2 linked regions of the Drosophila melanogaster genome follow. The protein of the gene in region 1 purifies or fractionates together with the protein of each later gene. This does not show direct contact. Each region holds a gene or a part of one and is shown on either strand. Other genes may lie near its edges. The genes, in order: Mzt1 and Grip71.

Region 1 (2,777 bases):
CTATTCATCCCTTAGTCTTTTCACCCATTAAAACCATTTAGCATTCATTAAGCCCAATTTCTGCCCCATCCATGGTGCTCGGAATAATCAACAAATTAACTAAATTCCTAGTGGGCGCCTCCATCCCCAGAATAATCCAAATTCCGAAGTTGTGACATCAAGAAATGTCGAAGCGATTTCAAGTGCAGCCCCGGGGAATCTTGGGAACATATTCGAACATTCCCAATCGTCCGCAACCTGTTTGATCCGTTGGTTATCAAAGATATTTCCAAACATGTTCGAAGCGAACCTCATGATGAGGTTGCATGGAATCCATAAGATACAATCCACAAGCTGCTTTGCAGCTACAGCCCAGCGGAATTTCAATTCAGTTCGCGCTCAACTCACAGACACGATGGTCATTCAAACGCGTTAACGAATAATAATTTAAAATAATATTCAAATGATAAATACACTAAAATATGCACTAAACCACGCACTAAACCTAAATCCACGAACTGTACATATTTGTGTAAATAAATAAAGTATAAACAAACAGCGAAGAGAAACCTCGAAATACCAATAGACCGCTCAAGTTCCCATACATTGAGCTGGCCAATCGTGTTTGAAATTATTTGTTTGATCGATTTTGTGCGGTGTGAACACCTTGTAAAGGCATTTGCAAACCTATTGCCATAGCAAGCAAAGTGTGTTAAGCTGGGAAACACCCTCTGAAAAGTTTATGTACTACCCCCTTCGATCGGTCGAATAATAACTACCACAAGACAAGCATTAAGTTTGTGTTTACGTGCTGCTGACTAATTGCGTTTATATAGCCCGACTATATAAAACTGTACAATAAGACACGGCCAACTGTTTTAGTTTGAACGCCTCAGTTAAAGCTGCAAATTGCTTCGCTACCAAGTGAAGTTCTACATTTTCGCAGCGAAAACGTTTTTCAATTGATTTTCATTAAGTGAAAAAATCCCGAGATTGTCTTCTTTTCGGTTTCCAATTGATCGCAATTGCACCAGACCCATAAAACATATATACAAAGTGAGGCTGCATTCCAAGTAGAGCAAGACAGTAACCACTTCATCATCACAACATCAGATGCTGCATAATTAGCATTCGTTGCGTGGAGCGTCGAAAAAAAAAGCGGAAAATGTATCTCATACAGGTGAGGCCAAGCGATACAATGGATCCCCCTCTCACGATTAAGTGTTTGCTCTTACTTATCACATGCTGGCGGCACTGCACTTGCCGACTGAAAAAGATCTTCATTTAAGCGTTTTTTAATTGTCCGCCAGCTGAGATTTTCAGCATTTACAATTCTCCCCTCCGTTTGAAATGACTGTGAGAGGCACGCATCTCTGGCGTATATAATTTGTTTAATTTGTAGCTAATTTATCTTTCCACTTGGCAGCGGGCAGATCGGATGTCGAGCAAATGGGGGGGGGTTCACTGGAGCAGGTGCCTCATTACTGAACTTTGAACTTGAAACGGTGTTACGATTTACAGCTGGTAATGGATTACGGTTAGGCATCGGGGTTCGGGTTAGCAGAACAAATGTGCAGGCCTGAGATTATGAAGGGAACTCAAATATTTTGACATAACCATTAATCATTTGTAAATGATATACATTCAATCGATTGCTTTTGAGTTATCTGTCAGCATTGCCCTAAATTATTTAGAGATTTATTCCGAGTTTATATCAAAATTTGTGGAATAAGTATGTCAGAACAACCGACACAACATAAATCCGACGATCGCTTCACTATCCTGCAAACCTTATCGGATGTAGTGGACTCTGGTCTCAGCAAGGAAGCCCTTAAAATCTGCATCGAACTGGTGGACAATGGTGTCTGTGGTGGAGCACTAGCACATGTAATTCGAACCATTAGAGAGGAGATTCAAGATGATGAAGATAAGGAAAGTGATGATTCCGGAGAATCGGCTGCATCAACAGACTCAACTTTGTAGGAAATGAATATAAAATATATTTTTGTGTTTATATTTTGTGTTTGTTAAATTAAAAGTTCAACTTTCCGATGGTCTGTTTCCGAAATTTGTAAGACGCTGGTTCTTGGACATCCAATTGCATGATTTTTGAAGGCTTTCAAGAAGACTTCGCCACTCTATTTGCATTCATCAAACGCAAGCGACTGGCGTTTCTGAAAACGGTATATGTGCCGGCCATGATAATGAAAAGTTGCACCACTTTGGCTTGATAGTAGGTCTAAGATGATAATGTGTTTAGATAAAAGCTTATAGCAAACCGAAGCAACAAACGACTCACCTGTCTTATATAGATGGGCAATGGAATGTGCGATCGATGAACATGGTAATCCATTCCTCTGAACAGCCAATAGCCCGGCCACGCCCCCAAACTGGCGAAAAGAAATGGTGCTGCAGTACTGTAGGCCTTTTCAAAGGATTGCGAATGCACCAGTAAACGTATCTCCTCGCCAAGATTATGCATCCGAGGTGGGTGGGCTATTGCCTTGGCTGGTTCCTCCTCCTTTCGCTTAAGCCTCGTCGAGAACTTCTCCTTCAGATTGCCGTAATAATTTTGGATGCCCATCTTGGAAAGGTTTAATTTTCGACCGAAAGTTGTGTATTGTGTGTGTGTGTAAAGTTTGGACAGAAACATATATCAAGGCTTACCTGAACTAAGAGGAGTCTCCGATGTCAGCTGTTTCTTCCTGATTATTGTGCACTGTATGCATTTCTATTGGTATGCCGGCAGGTCGACCCATTGATATCGTGAACAGACCAGTGGCTAAGATAGCCAACTG
Region 2 (5,100 bases), on another chromosome or scaffold:
TCCCTTTGCCGCTGACGCTCCTTCTCCTCGTCCGCAAGCAAACTCTGCTCGTATGCCTCGTCCTGCTGTCTTCTTAAAGTCTGTGTAAAATTCCGCTCTAAGCGATCTGCACGCGCTTGACTCAGCCACACCTCGTTGGCGTTCGTCACCGACTGGAGGCGACGGAGCAGCTCTTCGGGCGTGCAATCCCCCTCGAAACGTCCGACGATCATCATGCGATTTGCTCGAAGGCTGATCATCACCATCGTTGGGTAGCTGCGCACCGTTATCGACTGCATCACCCGGTAGCCCTCCGGCGTGGCTACGTCGCATCCCCATAACAGGGTGTGTGTGTTAATGTAGTCAATGACCGATCTCGCCGACAGTGTGTTGCGGCAGAAGGATTCCACATCTGGGTTCTTGGCGGGATCCTTGTGCAGGTAAACGATTAGAAAACGCAGCTCCTGCTTAGCATCGTTAAGGGCCTGGGCATATGTGCCCTGATAGAAGACCGGGTGCTCGGGATACCTTTCGTAGTATTCCCTAATAAACTTCATCACATCCCCCAGTGGATCTGTCACCAAGCGGGCTTCGTTTCCTCCGCCCAGGTTCACAAACGCACTGACGATGCTCGTCAGCGTGGAGTAGAAGTACTGAAACACGAAGTTAATCACATATCCAATGATGCCGGTGAAGCTGCGGGGAACGGGGCCACTGGGCACCCGGCTAACCGTCCTTCCGCCAGGCATGTTGGCGGAAAACACCTGCTGCAGGAAGCGATCGTTAAGGACAGCGGGCGCTCGGACATCTGTAGAGGCGGCGAACATGGTCGGACGCCCCTCGCGGATATTTAGCTGCTCCTGGAAGGCCACCTGCATATGTAGATATGAAAAAGGGTAAATAAGCTGGTATTTAGTATAGCAGGGCGCCCAACGCAAAATTGTAAAAAACAAATTTAAAAAGAATTTAGAATAAAATGATTACTATCTTTAGTCGTCAGATAATATATATGTACAAAACTTGTTGGTAGTAGTATTCTTGCAGCCACCACTGTATGCAAGACTGCAAGACTACGTGACCCTGTTATTTTGACATTCACTGTGTGGGCATATAAACATATGCATACCTCGAGATCCCATTGGTGTCTGATTAGGACGTCGCGGCAGACGTTCATATCCTCGATGCCGGTGAGATCCTGGAACTGGAGGACCTTCTCCGTCTGTTCGTTGGTCAGTCCATCAGCTTCCATCTTTCCTGCAGTTGAAGGCCTCCGTTCCCAGTTGTTATCGTTGTTGTTTGCTTTTACGCAGTGCGTGCGTGTGTGTGCTTGTGTGGGTGCCAATGGCCCGTGACTGTCTCCCTGGTGTTGTTTTTGTTGTAAGCTGGCCTTTGTCCAGTGGCTCAGCCGCTGCGGCGGGGGACGGGGGATGAGTAGCGTGGTCACTAAATGCTTCTACTGGTCGCCAGGAGTCATTTCAACGCACGCCAAATTGCCGCACTACAACGTCTTTAACATTTCTCGGCAATTTATTTCTTTTTCGCAGGTGATTGCTTGCTCTTCTTCTTGCCTTTCTGCCAATGATCCGATGAATTTGGTTGTGAATGACTAGTGTGACCGCGCAGGCCGACGCGTTCTCACTGCGAAATCCAGCGGCAAACAAACAATTTGTGTTCGCTTTTTAAAAAATTATTTTTATTATTTATTTGATCTCTATGCCTGGCGTGGTAAAACACAGAAAAAGATTAAAAGCAATATTGATATATAATTCAAAGGTGTTAGATAAGGACAATGTGTAGTGGAATCAGCATATTTGTCTAACATCACTTGGAAAATCGACGGACGAGCTTTGGAATTTTCAGGTAATAAAGCAGCGGGCACATTCTTAAATCAGTCCGAACAAAAGCACTCAAATTTGAATTGTGTAAATATCTGAAGAAATAAATCAAAATGCATGTTATTTCCACGTCTAAAAAAACCGTGCTCTCCGACTTCGCGGATCTGGAGACAAAGTCTGAGTATGTGCACCAGAACGCAGAGCCCACGGACTTTCAGTTCAACGGCCAACGCCGGGTCTTCGTGGAGGTGGATAAAATGGCGGGCTTGGCCGTGATGCGAATAAAGGAGAAGGATGGCAAGAGTAAGAGAGAGGTGCGGATCCCCAAATCCCACGTATGTAATTAACTTCCCATTTCACAGCGCCCGAGATTCAACGAGTCCGTAAGCTCACCATCGACAATGCCTTCTGTGTGGCGTGCGCCAAGCAATCCCTGGAAGAGATCGCTGTGGGTCAGAGCGGTTGTGTTAAGCTATACAACTTTCGGACGGCACAGCTCATCCATCGTTTTCCGGCGGACCCGCAAAGGAGTACTGTCCTCTACATGGACTACAACAACACGGACGAGTATATAGCCGCCGTGCGCGATGGCGGGGACATCAGTATCTTGGGTACCAAGACCAAACAGAAGACCAACACCTTCACCATAGATGGCGAGTAAGTTAAAGGCTTGCTTGTTAAAGGATTGCATTGATCTTTCGCTATCCTGTTAATATCAGCTCTACTCTTGTGCGCTTTCATCCGAGCAAACGCTTTCATCTGTCGATCGCTTCCTATAAAGGAGCCGTGACTGTCTATGATGTGCAGGGAATGCGAAAGATTTTTCATGCCAGCGAAGCCCACAGTGCTCCCTGCCGGGACATCAGTATGTGCACATCCCAACCGGCACTGCTGGTCAGCGTGGGCTACGATTGCAAGATAAATATCTTCGACATTCGACGAAATCGTGCTCAGGCCTCTACGGATCGCTTGACCTACTCGCATCCACTATCGACGGTGGCGCTGAGTGAATGTGGCACTTATCTTTGTGCTGGAAACCTTAAGGGCGAATTAATAGCCTATGATATGAGGAGTACAAAGGCTCCGTTGGCCGTGAGGAGTGTACATGATGCGGCTGTAACACGTGTAGCCTTTGTGCCCGTGCCAAGTGGGGATAACCAGCAGAACGGTAGCCTCAACAGCTCCGAAAATGCAACTGGTTTGGCGACCGAAGCTCCTCGTGTAGAGCGTGCGCCCAGCGATGAGTTGCGTAAATCGATTGCCGCTAATTTGTTGAGCACCCAAAACCAGCTGACCAGTCTTGGTTACGGGGTGTCAACACCTACCATAGTTCGCCGGGATTCCTTTTGCGAGTTCCTGGATGCCCAAGGTCCAAGAGCTGTGGATCGCATGTCGACCCGCTTGGGCGCCTCTTACAGAGATAGTTTTGACTGGGAGACGCTCAACCGAAAACCGCAACCTTATGAAACTGCCAATCGTCAAAGTCTTTGTCCTCCAGTGGCGTCTGGCCCAAGCTCGGTGGATAACTCCGTCAACAGCTCCACCACGGAGTCACTGCAACGCAAGTTACTGTAGAGATTATTATTTTTTAGTTATAATAAGCTTATTACTTGCAGAGACCTTAAGCGGCCCACTGAAGGATCGGAGCAACATTTCCGGAGACGGAAAGCTGATGAAGATTGCCGAGACGGACGAGCTCTGCGAGGAGCAGTCTGCCAACATTTCCGTGGCCAGCAGCACAGGAGGCGGCAGCGACAAAGAGAATCCCCCGCCGGTTGACGCAGAAATGAAACGCCGTCTGCGCTTGCTTTCGGCCAGTCGAAACAGTACCCCGCACCATGCTAACATCACACCACAATCCTCAAATCCTCTCTTGAAGCCTCAGCAGTTGCTGGCCAAATCGTCAAGCGGACTTTCCGCCCAAATGGATGCAGATTGGCGCAAGGAATTCAGCGAGCTAAGAGATTTTGTAGACCAGCGCTGCGAGAAGGTGGAGCGCGAATTGGAGTACGTTACCTTCTCTAATCAGCGGCTATTGGCTAATAAGATGACCAACTACATGGACCAGCAGGTGGAAAACACAAGGGAGATCCGGGACGCCCTGGCTTTACTACTTCAAGGAGATAGCTTCATGCGCGAGTTCTCGCGCCTACAAAATGAAAACGAAATGTTAAAGGCCAAATTGAAGTTTTACCAGGAGCAGGAGCAAACTGAATCATGCGGAGAGTAAAACGAGGGGGAGACATGTTAATAATTAATTGAAACATTGTTATTATTGTATTTAATTTATTGTTATTATCAACTATTAGTAACATTTTTCAAAATAGGTTTTGGCGTCTCATGAGTTTTATGTAAATTTTAATTCGTTAATCGATCCATTTAGATATTTTACAAATGTTTTAGAATATTTACCTCGGTCTATAAAATGTTTTTGAATTCGTTATTAATATAGTGCTGCCAAAAGTGTAATGCGATAAGAAAGCTTCTTAAAATGTATTTTTTAAAACCCTTTTCACTTTCTGTACTCTAGCTTTAAGTGATCATTTTTCGGATTCGTCATGGGCATGTCCACCGATATGGTCCTGTTGAAGTTCTCGTAGTCGACAATGTAGCGCTCGTTTTGGGCGTCGTAATGGATGATATTGACGAACCGCTGGCCCCAGAAAATCTCCCTTGGCAGATAGGACGTCTTGGCCTCCGTCATCTGCGCTGTGGCAGGCGAAGTGCCCACAATGGACACATACAACTCAAATTGGGCAGCATTGAAGAGTTTCGCTGTGGTGAACTGAGACAACGGGCTGGTCTCATCGATGACATGGCACACCACATCGGGCCAGAGAATAATCTGCTCCCCATTCCCCTCCAGCTTCAGTTCCACGTGACTTTTTATAGTCTCACCCTCGCGCGTGCTGTCAGAGAAATAGATAAGATGGGGGTTCGTATTAATTGCTTGTTTTATCCAGCAGCAAGTACTATCTGAATGGAAGGTCAGTTCATTTATGACTTTCCTTATGACTGGGTCAATATTTCAGGAGTCAAGTGTGATTAAATTGTTTCTATAGCATTTATAAATATTGAAAAAAAAACGTTGAAGATCAAGACAAAATAGGAAAATATACCCAAATTAACCGCGGATTCTTAAGTTCTATGATTTTCCCTAAAATGCGACTGTGACTCACCGTTTGTCCACGATGATGTAGACTCGTATCTTGGACTCGATGGACTGCTGCTCGCGGGGATCACAGACGCGGAAGAGCAAACAAAGCCTGCCGTCGCGATAACAGAT

The links.
Region 2: the proteins of Mzt1 (region 1) and Grip71 purify together in Drosophila melanogaster (affinity purification with western blotting, with the first as the bait; one study listed by BioGRID). This does not show direct contact.

Annotation. Positions count from the first base shown.
Region 1 is NT_037436.4:2,387,623-2,390,399, forward strand, and holds Mzt1 (mitotic spindle organizing protein 1), read left to right. Parts: upstream 1-1,642; 5' UTR 1,643-1,713; coding exon 1,714-1,962; 3' UTR 1,963-2,028; downstream 2,029-2,777. Other genes in the region: Svil (supervillin), read left to right, coding at 1,145-1,159; CG32299 (uncharacterized protein), read right to left, coding at 2,099-2,218, 2,279-2,563; CG32298 (uncharacterized protein), read right to left, coding at 2,652-2,777.
Region 2 is NT_033779.5:18,707,011-18,712,110, forward strand, and holds Grip71 (Grip71), read left to right. Parts: upstream 1-1,835; 5' UTR 1,836-1,927; coding exon 1,928-2,117; intron 2,118-2,176; coding exon 2,177-2,471; intron 2,472-2,533; coding exon 2,534-3,375; intron 3,376-3,430; coding exon 3,431-4,044; 3' UTR 4,045-4,287; downstream 4,288-5,100. Other genes in the region: Faf2 (Fas-associated factor 2), read right to left, coding at 1-851, 1,106-1,228; Irk3 (inwardly rectifying potassium channel 3), read right to left, coding at 4,327-4,723, 4,994-5,100.